3 linked regions of the Caenorhabditis elegans genome follow. The protein of the gene in region 2 interacts with the protein of the main gene of each other region in a pairwise test. Each region holds a gene or a part of one and is shown on either strand. Other genes may lie near its edges.

What was found. Proteins that work in one complex are often made in the same cells at the same time.
Region 1: the proteins of ztf-8 (region 2) and F21A9.2 interact in a two-hybrid assay, tested with the Caenorhabditis elegans proteins (one large-scale study listed by BioGRID).
Region 3: the proteins of ztf-8 (region 2) and let-391 interact in a two-hybrid assay, tested with the Caenorhabditis elegans proteins (one large-scale study listed by BioGRID).

The regions. Positions count from the first base shown.
Region 1 is NC_003279.8:3,705,497-3,710,966, reverse strand, and holds F21A9.2 (C2H2-type domain-containing protein), read left to right. Parts: upstream 1-1,531; 5' UTR 1,532-1,746; coding exon 1,747-1,788; intron 1,789-2,185; coding exon 2,186-2,287; intron 2,288-2,475; coding exon 2,476-2,590; intron 2,591-2,748; coding exon 2,749-2,859; intron 2,860-2,905; coding exon 2,906-3,093; intron 3,094-3,139; coding exon 3,140-3,285; intron 3,286-4,174; coding exon 4,175-4,436; intron 4,437-4,609; coding exon 4,610-4,764; intron 4,765-4,812; coding exon 4,813-4,870; 3' UTR 4,871-4,937; downstream 4,938-5,470.
Region 2 is NC_003281.10:5,268,236-5,275,295, reverse strand, and holds ztf-8 (C2H2-type domain-containing protein), read left to right. Parts: upstream 1-1,824; 5' UTR 1,825-1,826; coding exon 1,827-1,906; intron 1,907-1,956; coding exon 1,957-2,056; intron 2,057-2,104; coding exon 2,105-2,391; intron 2,392-2,467; coding exon 2,468-2,775; intron 2,776-2,822; coding exon 2,823-2,905; intron 2,906-3,294; coding exon 3,295-3,495; intron 3,496-3,562; coding exon 3,563-3,706; intron 3,707-3,750; coding exon 3,751-3,825; intron 3,826-3,934; coding exon 3,935-4,251; intron 4,252-4,260; exon of another isoform or gene 4,261-4,284; coding exon of another isoform or gene 4,285-4,371; intron 4,372-4,422; coding exon of another isoform or gene 4,423-4,537; intron 4,538-4,580; coding exon of another isoform or gene 4,581-4,714; intron 4,715-4,861; coding exon of another isoform or gene 4,862-5,035; exon of another isoform or gene 5,036-5,057; intron 5,058-5,116; exon of another isoform or gene 5,117-5,170; intron 5,171-5,364; coding exon 5,365-5,529; intron 5,530-5,993; coding exon 5,994-6,297; 3' UTR 6,298-6,541; downstream 6,542-7,060. Other genes in the region: toc-1 (similar to Transporter Of divalent Cations), read right to left, coding at 1-7; Co-chaperone protein daf-41, read left to right, coding at 540-658, 793-1,142, 1,249-1,307; ZC395.4 (uncharacterized protein), read right to left, coding at 4,285-4,371, 4,423-4,537, 4,581-4,714, 4,862-5,035; ZC395.5 (Ovule protein), read right to left, coding at 6,801-6,946.
Region 3 is NC_003279.8:6,036,782-6,041,800, forward strand, and holds let-391 (C2H2-type domain-containing protein), read left to right. Parts: upstream 1-1,621; 5' UTR 1,622-1,649; coding exon 1,650-1,676; intron 1,677-1,755; coding exon 1,756-1,868; intron 1,869-1,913; coding exon 1,914-1,992; intron 1,993-2,042; coding exon 2,043-2,243; intron 2,244-2,337; coding exon 2,338-2,456; intron 2,457-2,760; coding exon 2,761-3,073; intron 3,074-3,484; coding exon 3,485-3,683; intron 3,684-3,883; coding exon 3,884-4,194; 3' UTR 4,195-4,486; downstream 4,487-5,019. Other genes in the region: C27A12.4 (C2H2-type domain-containing protein), read left to right, coding at 1-700; szy-5 (C2H2-type domain-containing protein), read left to right, coding at 4,893-5,019.

The DNA.
Region 1 (5,470 bases), on a different chromosome or scaffold from region 2:
TTTTATAGTTTTATCACCGCTTTTCCTTTTTCCTACATTTCCTGAACCTTTTTTTGCTTTTCAGTGCCTCCTGCCACGTCATACATCTGCAATCAGCTGATGTTTTGCAATCAATCGGTGTCGTTTAGTTTTTTTAGTTGAAACTGATAAGAAACCCTATCAGCACATACTCCACTGATTCAATTCAACTGATATGATAATATCACACAGGCTCACTTTCTTTTTCCTCTTCCTCACATTTTCATCAGTAATAATACATTTTTATCACTTTTTTGAGTTTTAATTCGAAAAAAACCGGTGGCACTTTTGAATTTTTGACATTGCCACGTGGCGGCTTTTAGAGAGAACTGTGAGAATACATACTTTCAGTATTTTATTTTTTATAGTATGCACTATCCTGATTTTTCGTGAGTTTTTTTCTGAGAAAAAATTGGCACATGTTTTTGCGTTTCGGAAACTGTCGATAACTTGAATTTTGCATGAAAACCTTGATGGCCGAGATTTTCTCTCTCTCTCTCTCTCTCTCTCTCTCTCTTGGTCATGCAGTAAAACCGTCATGATTATTGTGCGGCCGCGGAAATGAAAGAAAAAACTCGGCCGCCGATTTGCTGCTACACGATCGTGCACGAACATCTTTTGAACTCTGCTTTGGGGTTTTTTCTCTTTCATTTAAAATAATTCCAATTGATATTATATTGATAAAAAAATAAACGCGTATTTAAGCGGAATGGCCTCGCTACGCGCAACCCATTGATTGAAAAAAAAAAACATTAATGAGTAACGCGTGGTGAGACCATTTCGCATAAATACGTGCGCCTTTGAAACCGTAGAAGAAGAAAATAAAGTTCGCTGTATAGCTATAGCGTGTATATAAGTGAATTGCACGGATAGGGCGCGAGAAGGGCGAAGAGAGAGAGAGAGAGAGAGAGAGAGAGAGAGAGAGAGAGAGGCGCCCCCGTCACGCCTCAACCTAGTGAAATGTCTACAGTCGACAACTGGGAACATCCCTACATGTATAGTTAAACTGAATCACAGATGATAAGAGATTGTGGTAACTGATTAAAGATAAAAATTGGGGTAGATAATGATCAGTAAGGAAGACGGCGATAATTGAGATATTCGGTAGGCAAAAGTCAATGTTATAATATTACTTTACTATATAGAGCTTTTAATTTTGAATCAGCCATCTATGAAAATATTCTAGAAACATCTATGTACCTTTAAACTGTTGAAGTGTAAGCACATTTAATACGCAAAAAAATAATTACCGTAGCTCAAATTATGCACTAAGGTAAAAGGCTTCAATCTGACAGTACTTTGGAGATTCTCATAAATAATTAATTTCAAAAACAAAGCAATATTCAGAAGTTTAAAACATTAGATTTTCTCTATTAAAATTTCATATTTTGCTCTTAAAGCACCTGCCAACTCAATGCATCACATTTCACGCGCAATGTTCACTACTCAACTTTTCCTCTCAAATCTCTACTAATCTAATATTCATTCCAACCGGAGATTCAATCTATTTCAGTTGTTCAGTCACTTCATCTGCTCTTCCCAATCTTCCTTTTGTCTTCTTCTTCTTCACCTTATCATCAAAATCTGTGTGACTCGGAGTGCCGGAGCACGCACAACTTGCTCTGCGCCCCGCGTTGTCCCTGAGATCTTATCGCTCACTCGAGCCCATCTTTCTTCGTCGGAAGCCTCTTCTTTCGTTTTCTCATTCGGCCACTTCATTTATATACAATGGATGTAAACCAATCGATTCTGCATAATACAATAGCTAGCGTGAGTTACAGTAGATTTTTTGATTTTTGCTTCAAACCCGGTCTCGACACTACAAATTTTTGTGAAATGCAAAAAGGTGTGCTCTTCTAATAAGTAATGTTATCTTGCACCTTTTTCTGACAACTTGTTGAAATTTGATTTGTTCTTATTTTTATTATCGGTTTTCTTATGAAAGGTGAAATTACAGTACAGTAAACTCAAAAGAATTAAGCGTTGCGAGACCCAAAACGCTACATTTGACAAACAAAAATATTGATTAATGAATAGGGAAATGATGATAAATATAAATTCAAAATTACAAAAATAACGCAAAAAAAATTAGAAAATTAAATTTACACATCGCGTAAAACTTTTTTTGTTGAATATTGAGGACTGAATTATCATCAAAAGTTTGCAGTCAATACGAAAACAAGTTATGACCGCACCAATCGAGTTTAGATGTGGCGATTGTGTTGGACCGTATTCTGTGAGCGGCAATGGACAACTGTTGAGGATTACTGTAAGTTAAAGCATATACTGTAAGTTATAGAAGTTGGCGCAATATCTGTAGATCAAAACTGGATTCTGACTACCGGTGGGTTCTCAAATTTGCGCGTAACTTTTGGCGCATTGAATTCTTCTGATTCGACAGACACAATACACCATATTCCCCGCACAAATGCACCGTAGAACCTCCTTAATTTCCAGCTCTCCAACTTCACCGGTGAATCGATGGGTTTCGAGATGGAATCGAATCCAGTGACGCGGAGAATTCAAGCAGCCCAAGGTCCACTTCTAGCTAATTGTGTCATTATGCAGACAGGTATGCGAGCCACACGACATGGCCTAGAAATTGAAAACTAGGCCACCCAAACGGATATTTTTGCACTCAAAGACAATTCATGTCCTGCCTAGCTTTCACTAATTAGTCCACCAAACGACTTTTTTGAAATTTCAACTTCACCTAGGCCAATGTTTCAGGTCCCGTGTTCACAATTCTTTTCACAAAAAATCTGACGACCGTGGAGCCACTTCGAGCCATTCTTGTCGCTGATATGAACTATCGTCTGGAGCAAGAAAAGTTGGAGAAAAGTGAGCTTTTTTGCTTTTCGAAAAGAACTGCATTTCGAAATTTCAGAACACGAATGTCCACACTGTCACGTGGCAAAATTCAACTCCCTTCACAATTTGAAAGTTCATGAAGATTTGTACTGTAGTAAGAAGAAACTCGGAAATGTAGTTGAAAATGCGGATTCTCGAAAACAACAAAATGTTATTTTGTTGCCAATGGCGTTTCATGACCTCTTTCAGCAGAATCCCTTTCAGGTAACTCAGTTTGAAAGCTAGTTGTTAATTTCAATTGAACTTTTAGGTAGTGGGTCCTGTTACTATTGGACGAAATTCGGCATTAATCAACTCAAATCCTTTGCTCATTCATAACAAGAGAAAATTGGAAATGCCAAACTTTTCAACTTCGAAACTCTCCGTGCAGATTCCTATTATCAATTTGGATGAGAAGTTGGTTTTTTCTTTTGCAACACAGTCTTATTATGCAAGCGCGCTCCACAGATAATTAAAAACGCTCCGCCCCGAAATGTGGGGTCCTGCACGTGGTGTCAAACAGTCTCATTGCACTTTGATCTACAAAAAATGCGGGAATTTTTTTCCGGAAAAAATGTGACGTCAGCATGCTCTTAATCATGCAAAATCAGATGAGATGTCTGCGTCTCTCCTCCCGCCATTTTTTGAAGATCAAAGCGAAATGGGACTTTCTGACTCCATGTGGTCCTGGTAGGAATTGACGGCAAAATCCAAACGTTTTCAACCATTTTTCGACTTTTTTGCTGTTTTTCATGATATGTATTCATGTCAAAATGATGTTTGAAGAATGCATTTTTATATCATCATTTTTGAAATTAAAAATAATTAAAACGACAGGCGACAAAACATAATAATTTAAATTGATAGTTTTGGCGCCGATACCTATCGAGACCCAACGTTTAGGGGCGGACCTTGATTTCAAAAGGAACATTTTTAACCTTTATATAACGGGAATACAAAACTCAGAATGCGACAAATGTGCGACAAATTTGACGCGAAAATATCTCGAAGCGAAAACTACTTTAATTGACTACTGTAGCGCTTGTGCCTATTTATGGGCTTGTTCGCATATATTTTTGAAAAGCGGCAGTGATATTCCATTCGTTTCTAATTTTTAATATTCTATTGATAAATAATTCATTTCGAAAAACGATCCCGTAAATCGACACAAGCGCTACAATAGTCATTTAAAGAACTACTGTAGTTTTGATATTTTGCGCGTCAAATATGTTGCGTAATACGCATTTTCAGAATTTCGTGTTCTCGTAATAAATGAAAATCTTTTTTATTTTATTTTTCTATTCAGGAATGTAAGAACTTCAACTCCTCTGGATTTATCCTCATCACCCCATGCACCAAGTGTTCCATCACTCTCAGCCAGTTGTTCTCCAACTTCAAAAAGCTCGAGCAGTGAGCCAATCTACCCGGAAAGACCATTCTCGTGCACTTGTGGAGTCTCGTTTTCGTCTCAGACCACGTATGACGCGCATAAGCAACTGTACTGTAGCCACACAACTCGTGTATCATCTCCAGGTGGTGGACCACACAGAAATGATTCTTTGAGAAAGGTGAGATACACTTTTATTTCTCAGTTTCTTCATTTCCCAGTTTATCAGTTTTCGTGATCTCTCCGAGCCTCTTTCTGATTGCAATCTTGAATTATGGCGAGCCAGTGAAAGAGAGCTTGTGCACAAGCTTGAGTTGAGAACGAAAAAAGAAAGAAAAAAAAGGAGATTTGTAGGTACCGGAGAAGTGTACAAAATGCGATTTTGTGCCGACATCGTCCTCGCAGCTATCTATGCACATTCGATCATCGCATCAGACAACGAAGACATTCACATGTTTGGTGTGCGGCTACCGAGCATTCAGTATGCGAGGGATTCGTACGCATATGAGGTTTGGGGGAACTTATAAGTAATAATCAAGTAAATCGATGTGTTTCAGATCTCATTCTGACGATGAAGCTTTGAAATTCAAAGCCAATGAGCCCGATGAAACATGAATGGATAAAAATATATTTTAAGAAATTAGACAATTTATTTTCAGCTCAATAAACGGGTTTTAATAATTGTTTTGTTGCCAATTTGAAACATACTTTCAAAGATATTATTGGGCAGCAGAAAATAGCGCGCCTCATAGTCAAGTGAAAAGCTCCGCCCTAAACGACGGGTCTCGTTAGGAATTGGCGGCCGGAAACCAGAAATTCAAATTATTTTCGCTGATTTCGCCGGTTTCAAGAGTTTTTAGACCTTTTTTGTAATTTTTTCTGTTTTTAAAAAATTATTTTTTAATGTCAAAAAGAACATATAAAACCGAATCAAACGAGCGTATTCATTTTTCAATTTCAGATACGTTTTTTTTTATATTTTTATATTTTTATACCACATAAAAATCACGAAAAAGAACAAAACAGTTGAATAATGTTCGAAAACGTTTGAATTTCTGGTTTTGCCGCCAATACCCAATGAGACCCAACGTTTGGGGGCGGATCGTTTTCATTTGGTGTTGAAACGCGTTTGCACCTCGTTTTCGATTTTTTAAAACTCCAATTCTCAGGCAACTCAAATCTAATATGAAAATATTAAATAGCAATATTTTTGTA
Region 2 (7,060 bases):
CTTCCATATTTCCATCAAAAAATGTTCATTGAACGATTTAAAATTAAGCTGAAATGAGCCAAAACCTCGTAAATGGAGACGTGTTCGTTCAAAGGCGCGCGCACTTTCACCACTGGGTCTCGCCGCGATTTGGGAACTCTCTCGAATTATTTGAATTTCTGCCGTTTTATCATCTTCATTATGCGTTTCCATGGCAATTTTCCTGAAGAACATTCGCGACTTTATATTTCTAATCCATTTACGTTTATATTCAATGCCATTCGCACTTAAAATATATCGATTTTGGCCAATAGTCCTTGTATTTAGGAGAAAAAGGTTGTAAGAGAAAAATCAATCGAAAAAAGAAATTAAGTGGACAATTCTTGCTTGTTATTGCCGTGATATGAAAACATTTTCATCTGATGGCTTTATTTTCGTCAATTTGCATAATCATGCTAATTTCAACTGTGCGCTTATTTATATGTCGTGCACCTTCCTTGAATTTTATTGATTATTGTTCGTATCCGTCTAGTTCTCTTTTCGAATTACAGGCAAAAACCATGGCTAAGCAACCAACAGTTCTCTGGGCCCAGCGTGAATCACTTGTCTATCTGACCATCGAGGTTGATGAGGCGAAAATCGAGGAACTGAAAGGAGAGGGAAACAAGCTTCACTTCCAGTACGTTTCGGATTAATATTTCGATTTCTATTTTAAATGTTTAAATACGATATGAAGCATATTTCTTGCTTCCTAAATATTCACAGAATGTTCATGATGGTACATAGAATGAGTCGTAATTCGTAAATTTTCAGAGGAAGCAGCAAAACTGACAAGTACGAAGCAACTCTCGAATTCTTCGACGAAATCGATCCTGCATCCGTAAAGCACACTGGATCTTCAACCCGCGTCGTTGAGATCACAGTTCAGAAGAAGACCCCAGCCTGGTGGCCAAGACTTCTTCAAAACAAGGGAAAGGTCCATTGGTTGAAGGTTGACTTTGGAAAATGGAAGGATGAAGACGAGGATGATGAGGCTGAGGATGCCGGAGCCGGAATTGGCGGTGGAATGGCGAACGGATTCGATTTGAACCAGTACATGTCCCAGATGGGAGGAGCTGGCGGAGCAGACTTCGGAGGTCTTGAGGATGATGAGGAAGATGACGGTAAGTATTAAGTGCAATAATATCCTTTTTGCTTACTATTAGTAATTCGTTAATGATAGAAAACCAATGTAGTATTAAAATGTTATTTATTATAAAAAATTTTCAGATATGCCAGATCTCGAAGACAACGAAGAGGAGGAAGGAAAGAACGGAACGAGAGCTTAAGCAACTCCTCAAGTCCCAATTGTTTCATTAAAAATACAATTTGAATTTCTCTAATTTAATTCTTTATTCATTTTTCTCTATCCCGATTATTCCTCTTCCAGTTTGTGAACGCTTCACGTATCTCAGTCACAGAGTTTCATTTATTGTTTCCACTTTAAATATTTATTGAGTAAAGTGATATCACACCCATCTTCTTGCAGTGAACTTGTGAATTCTGACGGCTTAATTTTTATCCCGCATTCGTTTTTCTAATCAGTTTCCATGGGCAAGAACACAATTGGTAAGGCTCTGGTAATACTTTTCTAAAGTTGTTACTTTTTTTAAAATGTGAGCATACAAGGTATTTAATTTTGTCTTCTTTGTGGATCCACATGGAGAAAAAACTCCTGAAGACATAAATTTTACTCATTCAAGCTGGATAATATCATTCAAATCATATCATTCAAGTTAATACGCTTTTTCCGATCAATCATCTGAATCACAGCCAGAGATTAAATTATGAAATCGTATTTTTAAGATATGAACCAATTAGTGTGTCCATTGTGCTGCGAAACGCTGAAAGAGGAAGGCGCACACTTCTACAAACATTTTAAGTACAAGTGAGGATTTTAAATGTTATTTCTATTATTAAATTCATATATAATTTTAGGAGATATGCATGCGGAGAGAGCACATGTGATATGGGATTCTACACACAACAGGAGCTCAATGCTCATTGCTCGAAACACGGACACAAGCGCTCTTTTCAGGTTTTGAGACGATTTTCTACAATTAAAAATATTGTTTTTTTTCTTCAGAAGACAGTAAACCCATACATTGACAAAATGATATCGGTTGTTGTGGAAGACGCATACGCCCTAGCGACTGACGATATGGAAACTGTGCTTGAGAAGCGATGGGGAAGAGATCCGAGATCAGTGTCACCGACTTCACCTGTTAAAAAGACTCCTACTGATAGTGCAAAGAATAAAAGAAGTTCCGTCGTAACTCCAACATCTCCTCCAGTGCCAAAAAAGGCAAAATCGGGAACTTCTACGACTTCACCATTTGCATTTTTAAATAGAAGAACAAATAATTCTGAGAGGTATTTATTCACTAAATACAATTTTAACAATGCCTAGATTCCGACAAAGCCCTCGTTTTAAAAATGATATATTCAGCTCACTCTGCCCCAACGCCTCCTCAACATCAGCTCAGCCAGCTTCATCAAGTTCAGCTCAAGCTATAGTTGATTCAACAACCAGTGAACATAATATATCTATTGATAAAACAAAGAAACCGAGGAAGAAAAGAAACGAGTCAATGACAGCAGCTCAAAATCAAGAGAAAGCTGGAAAAAATGCAAATTACGATGAAATGTCAGCGATTGATAAACTAATTGGATGGTTTGATCCAAATGTTCCAGAGAGACGAGATGCTGCAAAAGTGAAATGTGCGGTTTGTAATGAAGAAATAGTTTATGATTTTAGTGAGTTTTTGAAATCTCTAAATTCGAATTTAGTTTTTATCTTACAGTTCTCCGAAAAGGACACGTGACTCGTTCCCACATGGCAGCTGATGTAGCACCAGAAGATTATGATGATTTGCTGAAAACTGCGGTATGTACAGGAAAACAAATTAAATTGAGAACAAGGCTGTGCAGCAAATCTACAAAAACAAATTTAAAAAAGGAATATGATATTTCATTTTGAGGCAAATCTGAATTCGAGAAGGAAAAAAAAAGAATTATTCTTATTTTTTTCGAAACAAAAAACGAAAAATCTACAGCCCTGACGGTGACTTTCCTGCACTTTTTGAGATAATTTTCGAGTTTTTTTCTCAAAAATAAATATCATATTCAGATCGAATGAACATTTCCCCCACACTGTTATATTAATTTTTAATTTGAATTAATTGATTATCATACTGAAATTATAAGTTTTGACCCTGTATCTACATTTATCCTAACTAGGTTGCAGTTTTTAAATTAAGAAAAAATGAGTTTCAGATGGATCGATCGTATCCAGATCTCCCAAATTCGGATCTTGCTTGTCAACTTTGCATGACTGGTGCTGAAGTTCGAAAAAATATGCGCCGAGAGCATATCGAGAAGCTGCACACGACGAGTCTTCCACCGCTAACATGTCCAGTTGGAGAATGTGAAAAAGGATTCAGAAGACAGTGTGATTTGAGTTCTCATATGAAAGATGTATAGTTTTATTTATTTAATTTATAATAAAGCTAGGAAATTGACAAAAAAAATCAAAGAATTCCAGACACACAAAGCGAGCATGGCAGTGTACAAAAATGCAACATTTCAACAAGTTCGTCGCCGTCGAAATGCTATGATAAACGAGATGATCAATAAATGCTTTCCGTGGTCTCGATTAGAAGCAATTGAGAATAAGACTGTAGTTGGGGTTTGTTGAATTATTAAAGTTTTCTGGGTAATTATGAGATTCAGGAGAAGTCGGATTCTGTTAACCGCGCTCCTGTCGATCGCTCGTTTGACACAGATGTTCGAGTGAGAGACGTTAACGTAAGTTTTTAGAAAAATTATCTACGGGAGTCATCACGACCAAGAGTGACATCCAAATTTTTTTTTAATTGAAATTTAATTTTTCAATTCTTACAAAACACATTTTCAGAAAACTCGCCGTGCTCCTCAATACAATGCGAACCGATCTTCGTCGTCCGATTCTGATTCAGAACATGAAGAAGCAGCGTCGGTGGCTACGGGAGAAGTTTCCGAAACTGGTGGAACCGATGATTTCCCGCAAGACGTCATATACATATGTCATCAATTCAATACGGAAGTTGCTCAAAAACTGTCGCAGATCGTCAGAATAAAGCCAGAGATCATTGATGTGGAAGACGTGCTTATGAATGATGTTACAATGGAAATAAATGAGATTCCAGTTAAAGAAGAAACAGAGGAAGAGCAACCGAAAGAGGAAAATAACAGGTAAAAATTGCATAGATTAAGCTTTATTCGTTTTTAAGTAGTTTTCTCGCTGCTTCCTGCAATCTTCTTTTCATCAACAGACAATTGTTGCGTTATCTCAAGTTTTCGAGTTTCCGTAGCCTGGGAAAATAAGAAAATATTTAGATTAGTCTAAAAATAAATACTCCTCACCTCTTTAGAGTTGCCCTTCAGTATTGCTTTCTCGAATTTCGGAAAATCGTCATCCAGCGTCACATACTCGGGATCTTTGCTTTCCTTCATTCCGGTCACAGTGCGTTTCGCGTCACTGTAATGAGAATGATTGGGAAATTAGTTATTATTGTGCTTACAGTTTTCTTGGTGGAGCTACAGATGGTCCATGTGACATTTCTGAAGCTTTTTCGGCAATCTTCTTGAGTTGAGACACCGCCTCGTTGTGTTCATCCTTTGCATCACGATCACTTTGCCTTGGTCCCTTGCTCTTCTGAAAAAAGTCATTTTCCAATAATAAATGCCTGAAAACTCTTGAGAATTGGCGAAACTAACTGAATTTTTTTTTAAATTTACGGTTTCGCCGCCAAACACCACTTTTATCTGCGCCCTTCTAATAATATTTCCATCCCTCTCTTACCTCCTTGGACGGAACTTTTGCCATTTTGCTTGCTCCCTTCTCTCCCGATTGAGCTGTTGTCGAATGTGAAATTGACTTCATTTCGGGATTAACACTTCCACCAGTACCAGGAGTCGATAGATTCTTCTTCGCCGATTTCATTTTCTTCTTCTGCTTACACTTTGTGACACACATTTTTGAACTACTACACACGTGCCTGGAAGTGTGCGGAAATTGTTCTTCAACGGAAACGATAGACGAAAAAAATAAACTCACTATTACAGTTCGATTTATTGAAAAATGATAATCGAACAGATGAGTGAAATGATTAAAAATAAGAACTGATGAAATTGAACCTTTTTGAATATTTCGTTTTGATGTTTTTTTCTTACGTAAATAGTTTAGATTAATATTTTTCTCCCGTAAGGTTACATATTAATTCCTTTTGAAAGTTTTTTGAAATTTTTTGAAAATTGCCCGTTTTTGGAAAGATTCAGTACTCCATATTATTTTATTATTTTCAGTACTCTACCATCAATTCCAATTCCATCAATCTTCTCACCATATGAGCCAATTGTTCCACCACCAGCTACATCTCCAGATCCAATGAATCCGCCAATTGCATCACTGCTTCCAACTCGAATTCTCAGTGCGACAAACGTTTTGGAGAATAAATATAATGAAAATGTGTGAGTTTTTACGAAATATCTGAAAATTAAAAAAAAACAACTTTTGATGTTTCCTATCAATTTTGCAAAATTAAAAAAAGATGGGCTAATTATTTTCAAATTCTCGCGTTAATGAATTGCCTAGTTTAACGTTTTCAGCTCGTTTTCCGCGAAAAAATTATTTATAACGGTGAAACTGTTTTTAAGTCAGTTTTGAAGTTTTAGTGAATTTATTTTGGCCTAAAAATTGAAAAACTCATCTTCATATTAAATATTTTTTATACTGAAAAACATTTGTTCAGCCAGGGAATTTAAAAATAATTAGCCCATCTTTAATTTAATTTAATTTTCATTTATATTTATTACGATAGTAAGATATGGAAAAAAAATCATTAAAAAATTATAAACGTTTTAATTTTTAAGCAGTTAAATTCAAAATCAGATCAGTTTTAACCATCATTACAATATATAATTTCTAATTTCAGTAGCTCAAGAAGATCGACATCACGTGAACGTTCTTCCAACAGAAACTACGATGAAAGATGGTCTCGAAATGACTACAGTAACCCTCGTAACTACAGCAATCGTTCATTCCATCAACGAAACCAACGGGGACATTCATCATCGAATCGTTTCAATTCTCCATTTGTTAGTCGAAATAACTACAACAACAATTCTGAAACAACTGAAGGATCTTCTCGTCGTTCCGAATATAATTCTTCGTCTTCCAATCATCATTCCCGTTCGTCATATCGTGGCAATCGAGATGATCGAGGCTCTCGATGGTAAAGCCGCCATCAATATTATATATGCATTTTCCTTCTAAAACCGTTCAATCTTCAAATATTTCCCTTAACCTTCCAGTATTCCAAATCAGCTTGTGCGAAATTTTAAGAAAATTTCTCGAAAAATCTAAATCTCCTTCGCTTTCAAACATCAAATTTAGTTTCTGTGTGTTAGTATATCCTAGCGTTTCATATCTAAGATAACAATTCTCAATTATCTCTTTTTAGTTAGCAATAAAATAATGCCATTGTTGTTTGACTTTAATTGTTGAATCTCTCGTTCTGTTTAAACGAATATTCCATGTGTGTTGTGTTTTATAATATTTTATTGCTTCTATCGTTCTCCAAAGTCTCGATTCAAAAATCCATGTTTCTAAATACGGAAGTGAAACTAAAACTGTTAAATCTAAAATTTTCGAATCAATATAAGTACATTTATTTACAGAAACAAAAAATTACAATTTCAACATATAAAATTACAAAAATCAACAAGAAAACGATATAATTTTAATACATTTCTTTTTCAAATGGATCATCAATCTTGACACTAAAATCCATTGATCGGTTCAAAAAATCGCGGAATTGTTCGATTAAACTGTCACGGCGACGACTTCCGATAGATTCCATGTGACAATCCATTGATGTATCAGATGCTGAAAATTTTTATAATATCAATAACTTTAGAGGGGAAAATTACCTGAAATATATTACCGAGACGCAAAACCTTACGATTTTTACACCAAACTAAGGCGTCCGGTCTCGAAACG
Region 3 (5,019 bases), on a different chromosome or scaffold from region 2:
GACTTCCTCCAATTATGCCCACAACACTCGGAGGACTGGAGGAACTCCTGCTTATGATGATCTTCCGTGTTTCAATCAGATCTCGAGGAAGAAAACATCCTACAGCCACCAGGTTCCGGAAATCGATGTAGAGCTCAACAGTTCTTCCACATCAGCTCTTCCAATTAAAGAAGAGGTTACTACAAGGAGCCCTGCACCAAATATGGGTTTTTGCGAAGTACGCCAGCTCCCAAAAGACTCCAGAGGGCCTCAGAGAGATGGCTCCTCATCTCCTGATGTTCAGTTCATCAAGACTGTGACTATGTCACGGTTAGAGAATGTTGTTCCTACCAGCTCACGTGGAAAGGCGCCAGAAGATTCATCTGCACCAGCACGTCTAGGATTCCTCTCCGATCGTGCGGTCTCCGGGTCATCAATCCCAGCCGTCGAGGAAAGATCTGGAGAAGGCAGCTTCGACTTTACAGGTCCTTCCACTCCTCGCTTGGCCCAGCCAGCTTTTGGGAACTTTTTTGGGAATAGGGCGAGTTCTTCGTCTTTCGGTGCACCATTGTCAACTCTAGCTGTGGACAAGCTGATTCCGGAACCTCATCTCTCCGGAAGCAAAGCGGTCCCAGACCATCGTTTCGATTTCAAACATTTCAGACGTCTCCGAGCAGCGGGAGGAGGGCCCCTCAAGGCGATCGCCGATGTCTCCATCTAATCAACGGGGACGTGGAGCAGGACACCAGCCACGTAACAGGGAACATACACCGAAATCGCCATTGAGAAACCAGAGGGTGAGTAATTTGCAAAATGACCTAGTTTATTCCTCGATCATGCGAAAAAACCAACTAAATCTATCTGTAAATTTCACAGCGTGGTCGCCGAAGCCCCTCGACAGATGAGTGGACCCCCAGACGTTCAGAGCATCACCATCGTCGTGACTATAGAAGAAGAAAGCGGGATTATTCAAGAGATCGCTCACGCCATCACGGAGATCGTTATTAAATTCCATGTTGCATCTCAATTTCTTTTTCTTCGATTTCTCGAGTATTGAGCCTTTATTCACATTCCTTCTCGTATGTTCATAATAAATATTCTATCTACGTTAAAAGTAAAATATTCTATCTACGTAAATCTCCTTGTCTAACGCTCAATACACAACACAAAACATTCGCCTATTTCTTAGACTCGTAAAACTTCCTGATTTCCTTATGAATTTGCATGATCAACGTGCTGCTGTTTCACTATGAACATTTTCTACTCGTATGTTATCCGAACGGCTTTTATCAATTTAAAGATTAAACTCCAATATTTGAATGGAAATGAAGATGTGATGGCAATGATCTATTCATTACTTCTTCTTCTGTCTCGTTAAGAAACAAGATTTCAGCCGTTGCAAAGAATTATATTTATTAAACCCTCAATTCAAATTTCGCGCTCTTTCGAAGACGGGATATCGGAGTGTCGTTGTTTATTTTCAATTTTATTTTTTATTCGCAAAAAATCAATATTTGACTTTTTCTTCTATTTAAAACAGTTTTTGTTGAATTTTTCCTTTCATATAAATATTATTAATCTTTAAAATTTTTATGTTTATATGATTAAATCTTCCTTATTGCCATTAATTGTGTATTTTTCCAGATCCTAAAATTCGATAAACAACCAAAATGAAGAATAACGAGGATTTAGACGAAGTAGTACATTTATCGCAAGTAAAATAACTAATTTCAATTTAGTTTTCCAATTTTCATTAAGAAAATCAAAAATTTTCAGAATTCCGATGCAATTTTCGAGGAATGGGCAGCTGAGTGCACTCCCGACGCGCAAAAAGAGCACGAAGAGCTCGAGGAGATTGTCAAGATTCCAGATTCGACATACAGAAAAAAGTATGAAATTTTTGTGCTAAAAATTTATTAAATATAAAATTGAAGGAAAGGAAATCAAAAGTTGCCGACGGTGACGACGTGCGAAGTATGTGGAGTTGCGTTGAAATATCCATCGAGGATTATGGTACAGAATATTTTATTTTTATAACAAAATGAAGATTTTTATTTGTTCAGGAACACATGAGAACTCACACAGGCGAAAAACCATACGAATGTGACATTTGTGGAATGAGATTCACTCAAAGAACTCCAATGATTAACCATTTTCGTGTTCAACACATGGGTGATCTCCCATTTCTGTGTAATTTCGGTTGTGGCAAACGATTTGTGAATAATTCACGCAGAACTGCACACGAATTAAGCCATAATGGATTGGTAAGAAAAGTTTTTATGCTATAGAAAAATTTAAAACATCGAATCAAGCATTTATATCCTAAAAGATTACCGGAATAAGATATATTTTTTGCAGAAGCGAGCAGGACCGGCACGGCCTTATCTGAAACCAGTTAAAAAGATTGTTTGTCCATCAATGGATATGGATATACTTTCAAATTCTGCACTAGCTAATTATATATCACCACCAACGATGTAAGTATATGCAGAAGTGAACTAAACTTGATAAAATAAATAAAAATTACAACAAAAAACAAGAATTATAAGATTTTACATTTTTTAAAAAGTGAATTGCGGTGTTTAATCAGCAATCTTTAAAATTGAGATTTTAACACTTTTTGTTCTTTAACAAATTTTAAAACAACATTTAAAAAATCGGTGTTTTAATTAATAAAAAACTTTGATAATTTAAATAAAACTCCTGAAAATTTCTAAATTCGAAAACTTCCATCTTATTTCCGAATTGGTAAATTTAAAAGAAATTAAAATAACTTTGCAGAGACTCAATATTTCAAAGTGATCCATCAACTTCTTCCTCTTCACCTTCTCAATTTCAATCATCAAATCAAACAACAAAACAATCTATATATCCATCAGAAAAAGAAATGGAAAAAGCTGCAATATCTAATGCTCGAATTGATGACGTTATTAATACAGTATTGGCTCGAGTTTTGGCTCCGATTGATGAAGAAATTCCGATCGAAGAACCAGAAAAAGCTCCTCAGAAAAGAGCATATATTTCAAATCGAAGAGCAACACTTGCACAATGCAATATTTGTGGATTAATGCTTAAACATCCGAGCAAAATTGCTGTTAGTTTTTTTTTCGATAAAAAACGAATTTTGGTGAAAAATGAAAAATTAAAATTATTTCAGTGCCCACAAGCTGAATTTTTGCTGAAAAATTGAGAATTGGACAGAGAAACAATTTTTTCGATAAAAAGCATTCGAAACTTGATTTTCTGAGCAAACAGAAAAAAATATTTGTAATTAAAATTTTTTAAATCAAAGCTTATAGGTTTAAATGTGTTAAAAAACAAAATTTCCAATTTTCTCTCTATTTATAAACCTCTCAAGTTCTGAAATTTCTAGAAAAATATAATATGATTTATTATATCGAAAATTGTTGAATTTTCTAAACTTTGAAATCAAAAATTACAATTTTTAATAAAAAAAAGAAAGATAAATTTATTTTTAAATACAAATTTCTTTCCCATTTTTCAGGATCATATCCGAACACACACAGGCGAAAAACCATTTGAATGTGGAGAATGTGGCTTGTCATTGTCAAAAGCGAGCTCTTTAAAAGTACATATTCGTCGAATGCATACTGGAGAACGTCCATTTGAATGTACTTGGAGATGTGGATTGTCTTTTGTAACGGATTCTGTTAGAAAAGAACATGAAATGACTGTACACACTGGTAAATATTCAAAATATATTTTACTATCCGAAATTTGGGTTAAAACCGGGGGTAATTTAGAAAAAGAAAGCAATTTCCATTTTTTTTTGTTGCAAATTTTAGAATTTTCTCAAATTAAGAGTGTTATTGAAAATATGTTAACTCAAAAATATTTAAAAGAGTAGTCATCTACAAAAATTACAATTTTTGAAACATTCCAGGTATAAAACGTTACACATGCGTTGTAAAAGGATGTAATGCAGTATTTGCTCGTCGTGTATATCTCATGAGACATCGAAAAAATGCACATCCCGAGCTCTTCACACCAATTTTCGATCATGTTCAAGTGAATCACGAGGAATCACAGGATTCAGTTATTGTTTATGAAGATGATCATGAACAGAACAATCAGATTATAATGCTCACTGGTGATGGTGATGACGTCAAGATCTTGGCTCATTTTGAAGATGATGAAGAGGAATTTGTGGAGCAAGGAGGAAGCATGGAAGATCAAAAAACTGTTCATTTTTGACCAGAAACTTGAAAAAGCTCTTTCATTTTCCAATATCTAGGCAACTTATAGGGTAACTAGCATTTTCTACTTCATATATTCAGTTTTCTATTCCACCCAGCAATTAGTTTTTAAAATGGAAGAGTTATTCAAATTTCAAATTTCTAGGCCACTATTAAATTTTGCATTTTTTAACCATTTTTTTCATTCAAATTCTAGAAAAATTGTGAGAATTAATTCTCACAATTTTCAGTTTATTTTGGTTAACCTACGAGTTTCTTTTTGCTTCTTTTTTTAATAAAGATTTTTTTTCTCAGATTTTTCAAATTTTTTTTCTTTTCCGTATTCAGTATTTTTACTGTTTAATTATACTTGCTTTTTTTTTATTGTTTGCCAATATATTTTGAAACTTTCTCCTTTCGCAAAAATTGAAAAGATGAGATTTTGAAATTTTTTTTAACATTTTCAAACTTTCAGCAAGCTATTTTTGAGCAGTTCGAAAAAATGTAGCGGTACTTTTTTTTTGAGCCCAATTTTCTATAAAATGTTTTAAAAGGGTTTAGAATGTAAAAAACCAATTAATTGTTTTTTTCAAATTTCACAAAATCCAAAACAAATTTTTTTAGATATACCTTTTTTAATTTGCTAAAAACTTTCTAAAGGTCCAGGAAGGCCCATAAAAAATTAACGTCGAAAAATAAAAATCGATATTTTCAGAAATGGCAGAATCTTGTGTAAAACCTCAACTACCTCGTCCTCGAATTCCAAATATTAGAGTTTTTCAACCAACTACTCGAATTCCCACATTTACATATGAACAATTCAACGAATCCGTCGAAATTCTTC